Linked DNA regions of Nothobranchius furzeri. The protein of the gene in region 2 interacts with the protein of the main gene of each other region in a pairwise test. Links are inferred from orthologs where the notes say so. Each region holds a gene or a part of one and is shown on either strand. Other genes may lie near its edges. The genes, in order: mpped2a and rxrgb.

What was found.
Region 1: the proteins of rxrgb (region 2) and mpped2a interact in binary tests that used the Homo sapiens proteins (3 or more experiments, as listed by UniProt). The two-hybrid records come from large-scale screens. The link is inferred for Nothobranchius furzeri from reciprocal best matches to the Homo sapiens genes RXRG and MPPED2.

The regions. Positions count from the first base shown.
Region 1 is NC_091749.1:52,335,212-52,345,203, forward strand, and holds part of mpped2a (metallophosphoesterase MPPED2a), read left to right. Parts: intron 1-4,822; coding exon 4,823-4,938; intron 4,939-6,004; coding exon 6,005-6,118; intron 6,119-9,041; coding exon 9,042-9,160; 3' UTR 9,161-9,992. UniProt on the Homo sapiens protein: Displays low metallophosphoesterase activity (in vitro). May play a role in the development of the nervous system.
Region 2 is NC_091748.1:54,259,234-54,269,713, reverse strand, and holds the start of rxrgb (retinoic acid receptor RXR-gamma-B), read right to left. Parts: upstream 7,014-10,480; 5' UTR 6,845-7,013; coding exon 6,610-6,844; intron 1-6,609. UniProt on the Homo sapiens protein: Receptor for retinoic acid. Retinoic acid receptors bind as heterodimers to their target response elements in response to their ligands, all-trans or 9-cis retinoic acid, and regulate gene expression in various biological processes.

The DNA.
Region 1 (9,992 bases), on a different chromosome or scaffold from region 2:
TAAATAAACTGAACAGATTTAGAAAATTGTTTCCTCTAGACCAGCACAGTGTTACCAACATTGTAGTGTAGGCCTAGTTTGTACCTTTCCGTTTGCGTCGGTATGGAGCCATGCAACGCCATTGTGCGTTGACACAAGCGCTCTGACGGGCTCACAGAGGAAGATTGTGACATGCCCGACGTTTTAAACATAAGTCAAAAGTGACGCAGAACGCAAGCTTGTGATTGGTCAGGACACCGCTTCCTGTAAATTTGGCAACAGCACCGCCATTGCCCCCATGAAAATAAAAAGGTTACTTATAGGGATGCCCGTTTTCCCAGAGTAGTTTAACCGGTTATTGAAGCCATGAAACAGTTAATACTCGGTTAACCGTGACCCGCCTGCTGAGTTGGGCGTTACTTTGCATTTCTGAGCGGTTTGACCAAAGCGTTTACGGTGTGTACAGTAATGATTGATTACTATTACTATAACGTCATTAGTCACCCGCGGTATGTGAGACCTTGTCAACATGTCGGGAGTGCAGCAAAACCTAAAATGCTATTCTGGTCATCTGTTAAGATTGCCTGTATTTTTAATATTGCAATATACGTCACTGTGGGTTATAAAAACTGCAATGGGATTTTTTCCCCCAATACCCTGCAGCCCCAGTTTCCACTATCAGTCAGCGTGATCTTGAGTGCTTGTGAAAACTTTAAAGGGTTTGTGAGGAAAGATGCCTCCAAGCTTCTGCGTTTAGAAGGCCAAATCCAATGAGGTGTTAAGAAAATGGTTAAAATGATCTGTTAAATGAGGAAGGAGTGTGATTTAAAAGGTGTAATGAGAATGATGCAGTGTGTGTGTGTGTGCTGTTAGAGGGTTGTCCTGTAGCCCATCCAGGGACTCAGAGCATGCCGCTCGAGGGAGCTGAGGGGTTAAAAGTGGTGTCACGCCCGGAGAGACCCTGCGTCACCGTCCTAATGATGTCCAACGGCCTAATTGAATATTGACGTTCTGCACACAAGGGCTAAATGGCTTGTGTCTGCTTTACCTCTGCTGCTGCTGGCCACAACTAGAGAATTTTAACCCGTTTGATTCCTACAGGATAGACGATCGTTAAATGTTCCTGTTACCAAGGTTACCAGGTTTTTGTCCTTTGATGCTCTGATCCTTGTTTTGTTTTTTGTTTTTTTTGGCTGCTGTATTGAGGTGCAGAGGTTTTAATTGAAAGAGGACGTTCCATGACGTGTCTTGTGATTTTCCTTGTTAGTCCATTTGATTCACTCGCCTCCTGTTCTGCATCACACAAACACCTGAAAGTTAGAATCTGCTTTTGACTTTAAAACCCCACTCATCCCTTTCTTTTCCTATGTCAGCACCTCCTTCCACCTTTTCTGCTTCTCCCACTTCTGCTTCTATGTCTGTGACAGCGTTTCGCTTCCCTCTGAGCTAGCCTCCAGACGTCGCTACTCTGTTGCTACGGTGACGCTCTCCAGATGGCAAGTGTCAAGGCAAGACTGGGCTCTGAGTGTTGTCTGATCTCTGCACACGTTAGTCCTCTCTGGCAGCAGAACGCCGTGTTCTACACGCCGGTGCTGCTCACACTCGGCACCTTTGTCACAGCCACACAGGAAAACGCTCGCTCCTTTATGCGACCGGGATGTCATTAATCTAGGCGGAGGTTAACAAATGCGCTCACATGGAGGGTATATTTCATAGGCAGGCAGCCAACAATGGGGCCATTGTGGCATGGAGCTGTTGCTCCCCGCTCTGCATTCAGTCAGGACCTTTGGTCGGCTCCGGATCCACGGCTCATGTCGGGGGTTATGTTTCATCTCCCAGATGAATGTGTTTATGTGGGGGGAAACCTGTGAAACACCAAGCAAAATTAAGGCTCCAGCTGTTTATTTATTTTTTGCTGCAAGAAAGCGTGATTTATTTTTCAGAATTCGAAGGGGGGCACAATTGCATTTGGTCATTTTTCAAAGTTTGGCCTTGTGGCTATTAGTCAAACCCAGAGCTAGATGAATACCCTGCTGCTGCTTTCTGTGTGCATCCAGCTGACTGGGCCAGCTCTGCTCTGATTCACTGTTTGCTGAGTTCCTCCACAGCAGCAGCGCTATTTCCATCTGAAAAGTGGCGAGCCTTCTCAATAATCCATTAGACTTCCATTAGCTGCGATTTGTGTGATTAGTTCTAATTAATCAGTTCAGTCTGTGGCCTTCGCTCCCCTGCGCGCTCCTCACATTTCATTTTTAACCTCATTTCTCAGCTCTCCACTGAGCGAGAGAACAAGGCAACGACTGAGCGAGCAAATCAAAGAGTGAGCTTCAGGTCCGCCGCCGCCTTTCAGTCAGAGTGCACAAACATTTAACACTCGGAGCAGGTGCCTGTGCTGCATTATAATACCCGTTTGTCTCAGCACTCTGAATGATGGGTGTTTTTCATTGTTGTGGTGATATTTTAGGTTGTTGGTTGTGTTTTAGAAATGAACCGGAGGGGGTTGTGGTCTCATGTTTTACACATCTGGGGCCCGCTCTGCCTCTGGTCGGTCCCGCTTGGCTCTCTCCTCTGGAACACTCGGTATTGATTAGTGCTGGAGCGTCCATCCTTCACTGTAACACAGCCTATCGATGTTTGTGGAGCCCTGATTTCCCTTCGGTCAGATACCATCCGTGGTGCCATCGCTAAGTGACCGGGAGCTGCTCTGAACTCTGCACATGATGGAGCTCAAGTCTTTTCATCAGCGGCTCGGCCCCTCTTAGCTGCAAGCCTCAAGTTAACATCTAATTTTAACCTGTGTTTGTTGATGTCGGTTGACTTGTATACTGACTGAGGTATTACGTGATGATAATCCGTCTTTTTTTCCTCACTTGTCAGCCATTACTACTGTTGTGACAAATGAAAGCTCAATTCCTCAGCTAGCCTCCTCTCAATTTCTTTTCCTCCCGTTGGTTTTGACGACTTCTGCTCCTACATCCAACCCCCACACTTTATTTCCTCATCTGTTTAAACCCTCTGACTCTTATCTATCCTTTCCTCATCCCCACTCAGCCAGACCGAGGCTTTCTTTGTGTGTGCCGGAGGAGGCTGAGAAGCTGCTTGTCACCCCAGAGATGCAGACTCCCATCCAGGCTGCTGGAGGTGGCCCGGCTGCTGTCAGTCAATCTTTAGACGGGTAGCAGAGGGAGAAGCGGCTGACACATGATGTGGCTCCCCGCTGTTTAGAAATTCACTTTTCTTCCTTTCTACCAGTTCTGTGCAGTCAGTGGTTCAGTTTTAGCTGCTAAAATGAATGTGTGACTGCTGGAATGTAAAAGCACTAGTTCCGTCGGATTGAACCAGGCCTTCACAGTTCATGGATGACCAATCTGATTCGTTAGCATGTGCTGAAAGATCGCCCAACCATCTTGTGTTTTTATATATTACAACCAGTTCTCCTGTATACACCTGTGTGTTTAATTTATGATGAGAAAACATATCGGTACCATTCCTGGTTTCACGTTAAATAAAAGGTTTCTGACTCATTAAAGTTATTTGCAGTCTGAGTTTGTAGTGTTTAACGGGCTGTAGACAGACTGGAGAATCAGGTAAGAACTCTCTTAGAACTGCTCAAAGCAGAACTCATTTAAAGAAACATTAATTACGTTTCCCAGTATCTCCCTCCCAGTGGTTGAAAGTGGAATTAAAACTATTGTAAGCAACTCCGCTGCAGCCTGTAGTGCTAACAACAAGCTAACTCTAAAACAAGCCAAGCGATACTGAATAAATCGAAGTTAAAAGATTCACACTGTTGGACAGAAAAAGAAACAAGTCCAGTAGCAACAAAGCTAGGTCACCATCAGTTTGTGGTTTCCTTCAGCTCCCTCAGATGGGTGTAGGTCGCACCAATGTTTACTCTGGTTTTAGTGATTTGCTTCGCCTCCAAAGACATTACTCTCAAAAACATTACATTCTTTCACTTCCAGGCTCCACCATGACGTCTAGTTAAATTATTTACGTCTGCTTCTTTAGTTTTTTGATGGTTGGCTAACTGTTAGCCTTTATATTAGCTACCATCTCAGTAAATGGCTATTTCCTTAAAGTAGGTAAAGGCCTCAGCCTAGTGCATCTACCTGAGCCACAAAACTAAGTGCAGTTTCTGGTCCGCAGAGGGCTACATAGGGCTTACCAGTGTACACTTGGTCTAGTTTCTGCTTCAAGAGTCGCTGAAACCACTTTAAAAGAAAAACCTTTAAGTGTTAAAACTCTTTGAGCAAACTTTCTGCAATCTAAAGCAACTGAAACTTTAAAAACTGCAGAGAGAAGTGAGTTTCTCTCTGATTGTCTAAACTAAGATCACCCTGACTGCTGTCTGCCGTAGGTAAGATGCTGACCGCTCAGAAGGACTCCACAGAGACCACATTAAAGCACTCCCAATGTTACCAGCAACAGCTGAAACATGTTCTTTATAGAAATGTTGATATTTTGCTCCCATTTCCACACTGGTAAAGAACCATTTAGCATCTGTGTGTTTGTTTTGGATCCATGTCCCACAGCATCATTGTATATGTGCTTGTTTTTCCCTTTAATGGTAAAGATAGAACTCATTTAAATAGAAACGTGTGCAGATGCAGACCCTAGCGACATAAAGTGTTCATCTTCACATGATTCATGAAGGTAATTTGATGAAAAGGGACACAGGGTGCAAATTATGTGAATATGAAATGTTATTTATGGTGAAATGTTGAAAAGAAGGATAAAAAATGGGTGATGTTTATTGCTTTTGGACATGATTGTTGATGAATGTTGTAATAATGGCGGAGTGAGTGATGCTAATGTGACCCCCTCTCCTCCGTCTCTGCAGGACTCCGTGGTTTAACGGCTGGGGGTTCAACCTGCCTCGGGGTCAGTCTCTGCTGGATAAATGGAACCTTGTCCCCGAGGGCATCGACATCCTGATGACCCACGGACCTCCGCTCGGTGAGTCCAATTAACCAATCACAGCCCCCTTGTTGCCAAATATAATGAAGCTGTGCCTCATTATTCAAAGTCTGGATGAGGCGTCTGGAGGCAGAGCTGTGAATGTGTGTGTCTTCAGCCTCTGTGTCGACTCTGTTTTGCATCTAAAGTCGGTTGTGTGTGCAGCCAGAACTCAAACATACTTCATAATTCAATATTTTTGTTTGCTTTAAGGGTGGGGGGTGCATATGTTTTTTCACTGCAAAATGATTAGATTTTCCTTCTAGCTGTTTGGATCCCAGTTGTTGTTTTTTTCCCTTCTCCTTCGTGTTCTCCATCTGGCTTTATTGAGAGATTTCCTTCCCTTTCGCCTACGGAGAGGCGCTGCTGCTACTGCAGCAGCCGCTGTGGCTGTTTGATTGCATGGAAACTCGATTTCACCACGGTGTGACAGACGCTGCAAACGACTAGAGAGGGACCGTACAAGAGAACGGCTGCGCTGGAGGGAGGAGCCAGCTCCAAATATAGGGAGACAGACAATTGGGGTGGGGGGGGGGGGGGGGGGTGTTAATGTTTCACCAAGATCTTGCACTGATGATGGTGGACTGGGGGCTGCACAAGTGAGGTAGACATATGAAGACACGGATTCATCTGGCAGAATGTTGAGTTTAAATTAAAAGGCTGGCATGTCAGCATGTTTTCTCTGTCAAGGTTGAGTTTTATGAGTTTGAACTGAAGTTAAAAAAAGGCATTAAATCCATCCAAACGGGAACAGGAGACCTGCTAGGCTCTGATAATAATTCCTCTGTAAATATTTGGCTGAACAGTCACCCGTGGTGCATCAGGAAGCAAGATTGTGATTATTTATAACTTCTACAGAAACACTTTGAGTTAACAGAATTATCTCTAAAATAAGATGGTAAACCTGAAACCGACACAAGTCAGAGCCTGTGGCCACATTCAGATTTAGCTCTGGTTGTTTGTTAGATGTGTCCATCACGGGTTCAGGACCGGTCCAAAGTGATGGAGATGCCTTAGAAAATGGAGAGAGCTGTCTGTAAAATGTTTCCTGTGGATGTGTGTACAGGCTTCAGAGACTGGGTACCTAAAGAGCTGCAGCGGGTCGGCTGTGTGGAGCTGCTCAACACGGTTCAGAAGAGGGTGCGACCCAAACTTCATGCCTTTGGAGGCATACATGAAGGTACTGGCGATGTTAAGATCCCTGCACATGTGTGTGTGTGTGTGTGTAATCATACAGAGGTGCCAACTGCTCCATGCTCAAAGAAGGATACTTAAAAGGAGAATAAATTTAAATCGGATACAATGCTTGGCCCAAAAAAAGTTGTCGCGAGCGTGTCCTATTTGTCGGTTCCTTTAAAACCTGGTTCCGTTAGAACCTATACAGGGTGTCCGCGGGGTTTTAAAAAGTATTAAAAAGTGATAAATAAAAATAGTCAAATTTAAGGCCATTAAAAGTGTTAAATTTGGTCTCAGAGGTATTATTTTTTCCAAATTAGGTATTATTTTTTCAGAATATCAGATGTCGTATTCTGAACATCGACATAGAAATATATTCCGAATGAAATGTTTTGAACGATTATAAAAATAAAACAAGCCGATTATTTGCTCCTCCCACTTGCACTGCCCTGAGTTGCAAATGAAGCGCTCCTCCACAGTGTTGCCAACTTGGCGACTTTGACGCTATTTCTAGCAGCTTCTCAGACCCCCTTCTTGATTTTTTAAATCTTAAAAGTACCTAGCGAACACCTCAAACATCTCTGGTAACCCTTAGCTACTTTCTGGATAACTGTCATCGACATTTCCTGCAGGTTAGCTAAACACTCCGCCTGCACTCCGGACCGTTCTTCAGGACATTAGGAAAGGGAATGATGTAGTGATGTGTCGGTCGCTAAAGAAACGGCTCTCAGAGCCGGCTCCATGTTGGATTAACCAGAGTGAGTGACACACACACCGCACCTGCGGACTCCTGAGCCGATAAAAACGGCTAAATGTGCGCGTGCAGCATGCTAAACACACGTGCAGCTTGCCCCTGATTGCTGTGAGACCGGGTGGGGGGGTGGGGGGTGCAGCTGTGTTTGGGACAATTATTACATTAACTGATGGATTTGTAAATAAATAGTTTATAAATAAGGTAGAAATAAGTTCCTCACGCTGATAAATAATAACTAATCTCTCTGAGGACACGGTGCTAGTGCACTCTCCTACAGCACCTTGACACGACTAAATAAATGTTATGCAAAATTTAGTGAACATCAATTTGCATGTATTTGTTATAAATGCCACTGTATAATTCTTGCTGTCAGTATTTGCAAGATATTGGTATTTGGGTCTGTACTGGTTAGACTTAAATGAGTTAAACCAAGGTCTATAGCCCTTGGGTCATTTGCTATAAGTATATTGGTCTTTTTATCCTGGGAATCAGGAGTTAATTTAGTGATCATCTTGTTTCTTGTTTATTTTTGCCCTGATTGTGCCCTGAGCAGTTTTATGACTGAATAAAAACAACAAAAAATCTACATAAATTGAAAAATCATCTTAAATAATCGAGATCTCAATTTCAGTCACAATAATCGTGATTATTGTTTTTGCCATAATCTAGCAGCCCTACTTTAGCATATCCGGTCACATAATGATGACGTCATATTCAGTGGTCGTTGTGCATCATTTAAGGCCTCGTGGTCAACTGAACCGCTGAACAGAAGTGCCTGGCTTATTTTCTAAGTAAAATAAATATGTGCAATACGTTGTCAACATCAGTGAGTCTCTAAGTCTATTCTTTTTGTATGTTATATATGTTAAAATATGTGTAAATAGGTCGCTGATTAACCCTTTTTAATTTAGTGTTGTGATGGTTTTAAAAAAATTCTGAAGGTAGTAAAAAAAGTATTAAAAAGTAGTAAATTTTACTTAAGGATTGCTGTATATACCCTGCTATAAGACTGCACTGCTTTCTCAGGGTTCGTGGGGCGTCGTTGAGTTTTATTGTATTAGACCCTGGTTTGGACTTCCTAATTAGAATCAGTTTCCTATTTTAAGGTGAGAATGATATGCCGTACTTTTTTCTTTTTTGATAGCTTACTTTCTTTTTAGTTTCTCCCGTTATTTAGTGGTTCTAAATACTAGGGCAAAGTTCAGAAGCAGGCCATTCTTCTGACAATTATTTGGATTATATTAGGATTAATTTGCGCCTCTGTCAGCTTTTGTGAGCGGTGGCTACTATAAAATGATTCTTGTTAGTTGATCAGGCTAACATAGATTTATCAATTAATCTAATTAATCCAACCTTCCCGCGCTGGCAAAGACTTTTTCACACTTGCAAACAGAGCCTATTTTAACCTACTAATGTTTTGGCTTATCAATCCTTAAGATATCTCGTTACTCACGGGAGAGGAGAAGACTAGCTTCTTCACTTAAGGTTTCTTTTCTTAATCTGTCACAAACTGTAAAGCAAGTCCTGAAAATTCAGGAACCTGTAATTACAATATGCTTACCTCTCCTATTGTTTCGGGTCGGACTCTTCTTGACCTTCTGCCCAATTTTACTCCCAGAAGCAAGTTCTGATCCCTTATCTCTGTGACCCTTCTGTGAACCTCGCTTCTCACCACAGTTTCTGACCCGCAGGAACGTGCAACAAAGTCACCACCCAAATCATCTTAGCTCATCCCCACCAGCGTGTGAATGGATGAATGGTGCGCTGTAGTGTAAAGGCCCTATACAAGTGCGGGTCATTTATCATTTGTAAATATGAGGAAGTAAAACAGATTCTTGTTTTCTTAGACTCAATCTTTTGTTTTGTTTTGCTTTAACTCTCAGCGTGTAGACTGACTCCTTAAGTCAGCTGTAGCTGTTGGTGCATTTCTCATGAGTTCAAACAATGGCAGCGTACGGTGATACGTATCACATCTGCCACAGAGGTGAGCTCTGATCACCCACTACGTCGCCGCATAGGCCAAACCTCCCACACATCAGTGACTTCCTAAAGGTTTGATACTGTAATCAGCTGTAAATGGAGACTCCTGCTGATGGTTTCTGCGCTGAACCCGGCGCTCACAGACCCGTGATCGTTTATTAAACTTCCAGTCTGACTCTGTCTCCTGTCCCAGGGTACGGGATCATGACGGACGGCTACACAACCTTCATCAACGCGTCAACCTGCACTGTCAGCTTCCAGCCCACCAACCCCCCCATCGTTTTTGACCTGCCCAACCCCCCCAGCTCCTGAGACCAGAGGACTGTCAAGGGCTGGATGGACAACGACTTTTCTATAAATATTTCAACTTACAGAAAAATTCTAAGTGTTTCTTTGCAAAAAAAAATTAAAAAAAAAACAAACTTTTTTGCTCTTCTCCAAGCTGTTGTTGAGATGGAGAGGACATTGTTGGGTGGGGTGGGGTGGGGGTTCACTAGGAGCATTAAAGGAGAATACCGGTGTTTTATTTCTAAACCGTGCCAAGTTCTGATTTCCTGCTCAGATTCACTCTCAGGTGGAAAACAAAATGAGATAATCCACCAACAAACGTGCTTTTATTTGTATTTTACTGAGCAGAGTTTAGTCTTCATCTCACTCTCTGTTTCCTGTCATCCTCAGGAAGGCAGCGAACTAGCTAAAAACACGATGCCTTAGAGCAGAGCGCCAAACGAAAGTGACACATGAACTCGCACAGAAGAACCGATTACCTGATCACAGAGAAACAAACCGCCACTAATCCTTTGTGTCACATGTTCACGTGTACGTGTTCCACGAAGCCGTGAACTCAGGCCGGCTGAGCCTGGCTGACGCCGGTATTCTCCTTTTCTCTGGGATTTTGTGGTTAAACAATCTTGCTCTTGATAAATATTGGTCAGAACTGTAAAATAAATGATGCTTTGTTAATTTGTACAATTCCTTGACATTTTGTTTGCGTTGGCCAGACAATGGACACCATTGTTTAACGTTGTGTCGTTTTTAAAAATGTTCCTTTTGATTTATTGTGACTTCTTTTTTTATTTTGGCTGACAGGGACGCTGCCTTAAACTAGCTTTAATGTTCTCAGCTAGAGCTCCTCTCTGCAAGC
Region 2 (10,480 bases):
ATCTTTGTGAGTAAAGAGCCCTTTACACTGAGGAAGTTTGACAGCAGAGATTAAATTTAATATTTCTGAGTTAGAGGAACAACCGTTTGCTATGAAGTCGTTCAAAAATACAGCCAGCAAACAGAAAAAAGCTGTTTGGTTTAAAAATCAGTTATTTATGCACTGCGAGTGTGAACAGATTCTCTAATTTGCAGATGATGTGCGTTACAGTTAAACAAAAGTGCTTTTCAGAGGCATCAGTGCAGAGAAGGGACTGCTGCAGAAACATCACAGACACTGAAGAGCAAGGGTTTTAATTTAGGCGCCTCGTGTTTGGTGATAGTACACATCGCACAAAAACACTTCTTACCAAACCTGAGGATGAACCCAGCAGTACCTTACAGAGATATAAAAAAACAACAACAACACCACAACCATCTAGTTTTGTCAGGTTGTGCTGAGCCACAGCTGTGCTTTAAGATAAATGCTGAAGTTAAACAAAAAGGTGTTTAAAGAACATAATAATCGTCTTGTCTGCCAGCAGAAAGATTCAGATGCAGCTCATTTGCATTAATAACAACAACACAAAGTGTGATTCTTTATTGAATAATATTCCAGGTGAGAAGAGGCTGATGCAGTTTGGTGTAAACACAAGCACAACGGTCAATGCCGTCTGCTTTTAAATGTACTGGATGGATAGCTGTGACAGTGACGCAGGCGAGTCTGAGAACATTTGAAAACTGAAAAAACACCAAAAAAATTGTACACGAAGTTCCAAAACAAAGTAAGAAAGAGAGAAAATGCACCAGACAATGTCTGGCCTTCGTCCACACATGGATGTTCAACATTACTGCCAAAAATGGAGGACAAAATGCTTTAAAAGCAGCAGTCTGACTTCATCTTTCTAATAATTGTTTGCGTGGACATCAAGCACCAGTGCTGAAAACCATCATTCCCACTTCACTTCAACTTGACGATGGACGGAAATCTTTCTTAGTTCATCGTGTTTAGCATTTGGTCCACAGTTTAGACACGAGAAACTCAACAGATTTGAAGCTATTTGGATGCTAATGTAAACAATGTTTATGTTTATGTTTATTTATTTGGCAGACGCTTTTATCCAAAGCGACTTACAATTTATAACCTATAGGGCACGTTGTGATCTGTGGGGGAAACCGGAGGAAACCCACGCATGCATGGGGAGAACACGCAACTCCAAGCAGAATGGCTGCAGCCAAGTTTCAAACCTGCAACCTTCATGCTGCGAGGCAACAGTGCTAACAACTACGCCACCATGCAGCCCTAACCCAAACCCAAACAAACAAGCAGGAGGTGCTTGTTTAATATAAGTTCATTTAAAGGTTATTATGGCAGTTCTCTGTTTGAAACTAAACAGAAGAACTGAAGAACAGTTTATTTATACAACTTCACCTTTTCAACGTCTCTCTTTGATTTCCTTTCAATAATTCCTTTAACCACAGGGAGTAAAAATCCACTTAGTCAAACTTTAAATGACCTATTGTAAAATAACTTGGCTATTTTTATTGTAAGCCAAATGGCTGACTCAAAAACAGAAGTCAATATGAACACAATGAAGTCATCTGAAAGAATGGTTATTAGTGAATCTCAGTTGGTATGTTTGGACCAGTTTTTAAAGAAAATAATTAGGGATGCATGATATGTCTGCATCAATATCGGTACCGGCCGGCGTTAGCCGTTTTTTAACATATCAGCATCGGCCCCATAAATAAAACTGGGCTGATATGAACAACCCGCATTTTTTCCATCTTGTCTATATTTGTTTATCTGTTTCAGAGGGGAGTGATGTGTATTTGTTTAGTCATGTGACAGTGAGTGTAATCATCTCAGAAGTGTAAATGTGTGTGGCGTGTGTACATAATTATGTAAATTCAGCTTTATTCATGTTCATTCTATACAAAATCTGCTGATTTATGAAGCAATAATGTCAGTATATCGGTATCGGTAAATATCAATAATGGATATCGGTATCGGCTCAAAACTTTCCTATCTGTGCATCACTAAAACAAAAGATGTATTATTTTAGTTAACTACTGCATTTTTAAGTGAAGGAGAACTCAAGAAAAAAATGTGCTTTTATGGGTGAGAAGTCATTTAAAATATTTGATGTATGTTTTGATTTTATGCTTTTGTTTTTACTACTACTACTACTCCTACTCCTACTAATAATAATAATAACAACAACAACAACAACAATGATAATAATAATAATAATAATAATAATAACTAGATTTCTTGCAGAAATGCTGTCTGAATGCTGGATAGCTTAAACTGTTAGCTGAATCAGCTTAACCCTTTGATGCATAATGGTCACTACAGTGGACAGATACTCAAAATGGTTATTTATTTGTTTTTGCTATTAAGCACAGCTGTTGAAGACTTTATTGCATTTGAGCCCCTCGTTTTGGACTTCAGTAAGCCAAGCCAACATATTTCATGCTCAGAATGCACGCTGTCCACTGAGGTGGACATGTAATAAATTATTTGTAAATTATAAAATTTTACAAAAAATATTTGTTGAAATTTGTTTCATTCACACCTAAAGATGAAAGAAAAAAATGTTAAAAAAATCATAGTTGAAGATTTCATAATTCATGCATCAGAGGGTTAATAGCTGAACTGAAGCTGAAAGTAAGCAAAACTGTCAAAATGAGCTGAATGTGTTGAAAGATGTAGAAGCAAAAATCACTAACAAGCAAATAAAGCACAAAAAGTAAGTGAAGAATGGAGAAAAATGATCCTAAATAGCAGAAAACTGAAATCTGTGAACATTGTATAAAAATCTGAACAGCTAAAATGTCTAAACACTTGTAATTTCAGTTGGACAAGTTTAACAGTTTAATCTTTACATTTAGCTGAACTGTGAAATTAGCAGTTTATGCTAAATTTGGTAACTGATTGCTGAAGCTGCTGAATATCTGAAGTGAAGCTGAAACTAAGCTAAACTAGCAAATGAGCTGAATGTAGTGAAAGATGTGAAAGCAAAAAGCATCAACAAGCAAATAAAGTACAAAAAGTAAGTGAAGATTCAAGAAAATTAATCCTGAACCGCAGAAAACTGAGATCTGTGAACATTGTTTAAAAAACTGGACAGCTAAAATGTCTAAACACCTGTTATTTCAGTAGGACTAGATAACAGTTTAATTTTTACATTTAGCTGAACTGTGAAATGAGCAGCATATGCCGAATTCAGAAACTGATTACTGAAGCTGCTGAATAGCTGAAGTGAAGCTGAAAATAAGCTAAACTGTCAAAATGAGCTGAATGTATTGAAAGATTTAGAAGCAAAAATCACCAACAAGTGTATTAAAGCCCAGAAAATAGGTGAAGAATGGACAAAAAATGCTAAACAGCAGAAAACTTAAATTTTCGAACACAGATTAAAAACTCAAAATTTGAAATGTTAAGCAGCTGGCATTTGAATGAGAATTGTTTAACGGGTACATTTTTACAATTGGCTGAACTGTGAATTTAGAAACATTTGCTGATATCTGAAACTGATAGATTAACATATATATATGTTCAGACTTGGTATGGGATGGATGAATGGTTGCATGAATGAAATGACGGATGGATTGTTGGATGGATGTTAGATGGTTTATTGGATGGATGGATGGATGGATGGATGGATGGATGGATGGATGGATGGATTTATATGTGGATGGATGGATTCTTTAGGCAAAGCCGATCGATTTGATGTCTCACATGTGTGGGTGTGTAAGTCCATTTAGCCAGAAGATGATTGACCTCTCTCAACCAATCAGGGAGCTGGGAGAGAGCGGGGCACTTTCCCACCTTCTGGCGGTCAATCAAATTGAACTTATTTCTAGTTTTAAGGACAGATAGTTAAAAAAGATCAAAAACAGGAGTCTGTTATTGGCTCAATATTCAGCTTTTTATATTCATTCCTATGAGACTTGGTCAAAGTGATTTGTAGTTCCTTGTGTTGCCATGGTAACAGATGACAGGAGTCTGCATTAATAAAGCAATGTACAATGTCACATGACTCTTTTAAACTTGGAATAACATTTCTATATTAAAGTATGTTGATACAGTTGTGTCTAAAATGTTGTTAAATGTTGTTGCTATGCACGTTGCCATGGTAACGCAGAACACAGTATCAAGTTAATACAATACTCCTGGGACCAAGCAGGTTGAATTGATGTATCATATGTGTGGGTGCATATTTCCTTTTGGGCAGAAGACGATTGAAAACTCTCAGCCAATGAGAGAGCAGCGAAAGAGGAGGGGGCGGTTCCGCTTTGATGGTCATCTGTGTGAATTTTCATGTGCCTACCATGAATTGTCTAGAAGCTATGACGAGAACATTTTAGCTGTCTGAAGCCGATCGGAGGAGGAAATCTCTGTTCCGTTAACATGGGTTTCAATGAGACAGAATCAGGGTCTCTCCTCCTTCCAAGGTTTGTAGAGAATGAAATGTAACACTTAAGGACGAAATGAAACCCATTCTGAAAAGCTGACAAAAATTCCTACTTTTTGTGATATAATTTGTGTCGGTTCTCCAAACGGTCTGGGGGTTGGAAAGAGTTGTTTCCAGAAAATGTGAAGGTCAAAAGTTAGAGTGTGGAATTTTCAGTTTAGAGTGGAAGAAATTTTTTTTAAATTTTGAATATTGTCAAAGAAATGAACCGTACAGCCACAATGTTTGGAGTACATTCGTGATTTATAGCTCAAAATGAAGGTATATCCGTTAGCTGCAAGCCAGCATGCGTCTCATTTCAATCGGACTTACGGGTTTCTCAGGACAATGCCAGAAATGGAGCAAAGGAGGGTCATTGCTCCTATCTCTGCCCATTATAATTTTAGTGAATTTTTCTGAAAATCTCAAGTCGTACCTCAACTTCTACCTGTGATTTTAGAAAAACTGTAATAGATATCAAAAAGATTTTAAACCATTAATAGCTGAAAGTCTTGTGAGGTTGTTGAAACTTGAATGAAGTCTCTAGGTTAAAGTTAACCTATAAGAGTAAGAGCTCAAAAAAGTGATAGGATTTAGCTGAAAATTGAGCAATCCCATTCATTTCAATGGGACCAAAAATCGCAGAAAAAGCTGAATATCTCAAAAAGTATAAAATATTTTAACACCAAAAGTCATTGCCGGCATAAGCTGGACAAGCTGAGCGTTTTGATACCAAAATTATGTAAATAGTTGAAGAATTGTGGAAGTAGATAAATGCCAAAAAATGTATGGAAGCAGAATAATAAACTAAATAACTTACTAACTATAAAGAGAAACAGGATCACTACATTCAAACAACTAGAAAATTCTTGAAGAAATTTGAAAAGGGACCTGCCCACTGGTACAAGCTAGTGGCCATGTGTTAGGCCCAAAATCATGTTACTGGGGTGACCTTAGGGTCAACCCAAACTCTTGATTTTCCTGTGACGTAGGGGTAAACAAACACCTCCCATGGACAAGCCGGTTGTTTTGATGTAACATTTGTGGGTGTGCACATTGTGGCCTGAATGGCAGTGGACAACCCCAGAAATGTTGGCGCTAAAGCGTTAATGAACACACACGTACCGAGATGAGAAATGAGAACAAATTCTCTGGTGCATAACAGTAAGGGACCTGCTGGCAGAGCAGAAGGGTCCCTTAATAATAATAATAATAATAAGAAGAAGAAGAAGAAGAAGAAGAAGAAGAAGAAGAATTCCTATAAATTACATTAAATGTATAAAATAAAATAAAATCCAGTCCCCTTTGTGTTGAATTCATCTTGCTGGGTCTCATAGTTATATGGATTATAACAAGGCTGTGTCTACTGTCCAGCTGCAGAACAAACCAGAACAAGAGACCCTCATAAAATCAACAAGCAGCACATGATCTGCCATCAAAGACAATTTTTCAGGCCAATGAACATCCTTGTGGTTTCCCGTTGAGATGATCTACACTCCACAAGCCTCTCACAAGCACACTTAGAAGCTAGCACCAACTTCACAAACATTCATTGACAATGAAGCCACTTGAAATAGGCTAACCTGTTCAAGTGAGCGGACCTTAATGCATGCCACTCCACAGCAGGAAAGAGGATAAAGTCATCAGGGCGAGCATTGATGGAAGGCTACAAGGTGACAGACAGCAGAGGCAAACAGAGAGGCAGAGCTGCATAGAAAGGGTCTAATAGGAAGGGACAAGTGTTGAGAGTTAAACAGATAGTGAAGGACAAGGCAAAGGGAGCTAGAAGCATCCTTTTAGGCTGAGTGACATCCCCGCTGAACGCATCTGAGACTTAGAGTGAGTCACGAGCTCTCAGTTCTAACGCGAAACAGCAAAGCCTTGTACCTGTCACAACTGGTTAAAATGATCCAATGATTTTAAAAGCACAAATGGAGCTGCGGGAGGAATGAAAATGGAGGACTTTGATATGATTTTTCAAGCAAAATAAAGTCTTTGCATTAGGGATTGAATCACTGTGGTCATGCAAAGAATATCCAACGATTCTCACACTAACTCCTTGGAGGCAACATTACTTTAAAAAATGGTTACAGCATAGAATTTTAAAGCTTTGCCTGTGTGTAAAAATCAATCTTGTGATCATTTAATTTCAAATAAGACCATCTACTCACAGCGACAACAACCTGTTTCTCTCCCAGGGCTGTTCCCAGTTGTAGGTGATGACACAGATCGCCACATGCCTTTGATTTCAGTTGATGTGGAGCTGGCAGAACGCCAGTTACATCGACTGGCTGTCAGACTCGAGTAGTGGTTTGGTGGATCCTCAATTAACCACTTTTCACAAGAGGACCAAAAGGATCTGATGTGGAGAAAGAGGGTGTGTGCTGATGAAGGCAGTGGGTGCATGGGGCGTGACACTGAAAAGCAAAACAGGCAGAGTCCACTGGTGCCAGTTATAGGATTACCCAGATTATCCCTCCACAGAGATCAATCCCAAAGGAACAGTTTGCAGGCTGAGCGCTGCACAAATCAGCTCGCGCACCACCTACTCAACTCATGTCTATCTGTCTGCACAGAGGACACCTGTTGTAGCTGCACAACCGGAGGTGACAGGCAGAGAGGGGGTGGGTCGAGGGGGTGGGATCGTACTTAAAAAGAGTCCAGAACAAGCAGAAGAGTCTGATTACCGCCTCATAAAAGGGATCAAGGCTGGAGAGAAGACACGATGTCAACCTTGATGTTGCCAACGAAGAAATGCCTTCTTGTTTTCGTTCTCTTTTTCTGAGCAGAGTGAAGAAAGTGGAGGAAAAGATGGAAGCAGATGTCAAACAAATCCTGCTTCATCTTCCTCCAGACCCCCTATCATGCAAAGAAATAAACATGGCTGCATGCATGCTGAATGACATCCCCGATGGCATGTTGAGTTGCTTGTGTGTTGGGTTCATATGTTTGTGTGTTTAACGAATGTTACAACATTCCAGGAAGTCAGGAATTGTCCTTTTGCCAATGCTGTGGGATGGAGAAGAAAAAACACGCTGCAAAAGTGAAAACCCACATGCAAGCATAGGCCAAAAATATGACTAGAGGCAACCGAGAACAATGCCTTACAACCCCTTAGAGGAACCTAAATAAGACTACAAAGCCCATGATGTGAAATATGATCCCTGTTTATGGACCGCATCCATCAGAAGAAGCCTTCAAACAAGTGTAAAACAGCGCCTTAATGAAGCTGAATGAAATATTTGCAATGCAAACAAAAAAAAGTATCAGCACAGAATAAATGTGGAACAGACTGGGTAGAGTCTGCAGATGTTCTTTTTTCCTTTGTCATCAAACCTATCAAATGTTCCCCCTCTGCATTGAAGTCTATAGCTTTTAAAACTTGAGAGGCCCTCCCTGTGTGTGCATGCAGGGCTACACAAAGTTTTCTTGTTCTGGACACCTGCACGTTGCTGTAACTCTAGTAACCATATCCTCCCACTGACTGTAGCTTGGCAAAGACAACTAAGCAGCCTGGCATGAGCGTAAGACAACTTAGCAGGGATGAAACACTTTCAAATTCAGCAATCATCACAGGGAGAAATTATAATAATCTATTCATTCATATGATCTAGCTGTGTTATGATGGCCCACATAGAACATGTCAAATGAACCCTGAGAGCCCTAATTATAAATCATGCAAGTATTGTGAAGAAAAATTAAGTTATAATTGGAATCCCTAAATTTAGGGTAGAGTCCTACATGTTTAATCTCCGTTTGTAATAATCTAATCAGCAAACGCTTATCACAGGAGGAAAAGTCTCTTTTTACAGCCTGCTCTCCCTGCCAGCACTGACTTTTTATGAAAGGGGTAATCACATTGGGCTTAATTTGTACAAGACCATCAGGACGTTGAAAAGAAAAAAAGGAAATTAAGATGTTCTAAACCAGGGGTAAGCAATCCTTGTCCTCGAGTGAAACCATCCAGAATGTTTTAGTTGTTCACCTGCTCTAACAAGCCTAATTCAATGGTTGAATCACCTGCTCACAGGTTTTCAAGCTCTGCAGAAGCCTGCTCATCACCTACTGATTAAATCAGGTGTGTTGGAATGGGGAAACAGCTAAAACATGCTGGATGGCGGCACTCGGGTACTAGGACTGCCTTGCCCTGTTCTGAGCTGACACGAGTGCTTTTGTCCACCTTTTAAAATTTGATATGTGACACTATTATTTAAAGAGGCTCACATCAGGGATTGAAGCATCATTCTTCTAAATATGACAAGGCATTCAGATCATAAGTGCTACCTTCTCAGTGGTCATACTTCAAAAATGGGACCCAATGCCTCCCTGCTTGACACTCAGCTTTAACGGGTTGGATTGGGGAGTTAAACAACCAAATAGTTCCTGAGCACAGCCACTACTGCAGCTCAACGCTGTCACGTTGTGGGTGTGGAGATGATGGACCAAGTGTGGTGGAGCAGCTCAGGAGTCAAAGATGCAGGCTCGGATAAAGTAAAAATGATTTTAATAACTGAGCGGGAACGGCAGGACAAACACAACGCTGACAACTAACACACACAATGATCTGACGAAGACTGGTACAAGGAGGGAGGTATAAATACACAGGGAAATCAGGAACACATGGGCAGGTTAACGAGGGGCAGGTGAGAACAATAAGGACTAATCAGGGCAGGAGAGAGACACAGTCAGGAAGGCAGGGGCAGAACGTGACAACCGCTCCCCACGGGGATGGGTCAAATGCAGAGATGTCACTTATACATATATATATATATATATATATATATATATATATATATATATATACATATATATATAGGTAAGAGACACCAACACACACTCAAGCCATTGTTTGAACCATGCGCAGTAGTGGTGTGTATTGGCAAGAATCTGCCGGTTCAATATAAATCACAATCCAGGGTAAATAATACCGTACTGGACTAAAAGCCGGGCAATATTTGCATATTTTAGGACCAAATTTAAATGATGATGAGGATGAGGATGATGAATTTAAATTGAAACCTCAGGTCAGGCACTTAAGACACATGCAGTGTTATCGCAATATCACGTTGTTTCATTAGAATGAAGGCAGCAAAAACTGCTGCCAACTAGTGGTCGGAGTTTGAATTGCACCACACAAAAGAAATGCAGTAAGTTTTTTCATGTAAATTCCCCTCAAAAACTTATTTTCTACTTTTTAATATTGATTCTGTATCAAAAAAAATATTGGGATATTTCATTGTAGAAATATTTTATTACATACCTAACAAACCCCAGCATTAAAACAAAGACATCAAAAATAATGAGTAGTCTCAACAGACATGGCTGAGAAATTAACTCACAACAGAAACATCACAACCAATCAGCTAGAGTAGAAAACATCACCACTCTGTAAGCATAAGCAATGTCTAAGGAAGAGCGGTGCTTTCAGATGGAGGCATTTTTCTACTGGAGAAACAGGGTTTGCAATATATAACGACTAATATTGCTTATTTAAAAGTAAACAACCTGAAAACATACTTTGCAAAGTTGCATGATGTTTTCTGATTTATTCCTTTGTAGCTGAAATCCTTCAAAAATATAATCATATTCAATTAGTTCATAAATTGCCTGGACAGAGAAGTGAAAGAGTCAAGAACTCTATAAGTGTTTAGAGAATATATTAGATCGAGTGTGTTGGGTGGATATGAATGTGAATAATGGCTATAATTGAAATATGGACAAGGAACGTGACAGAATGAACTTCGAGGGAATGCATAAAGATAGTTTTGTTATTTTTGTTTTAAAAAAGGGGGCAGAAATTATAAGACTTTTTCTTCCATCTGCTCCCTTTCATTCAAGTTGTATTTGTTATATGTATATTGTTTATTTATTTGTTGTATTTTTTAAATGAATGAAATAAACATAAGAAAAAATTCTAATAATGATACTAATGATATATAAGTAACAAATGTTTACAAACAAAACTGTACAAGTCGCCTTATGAAAATGAGCGTGTAGCAGCACACTAAAGTAAAACTAAATAGGGCTGTGTCAGCTTTCATT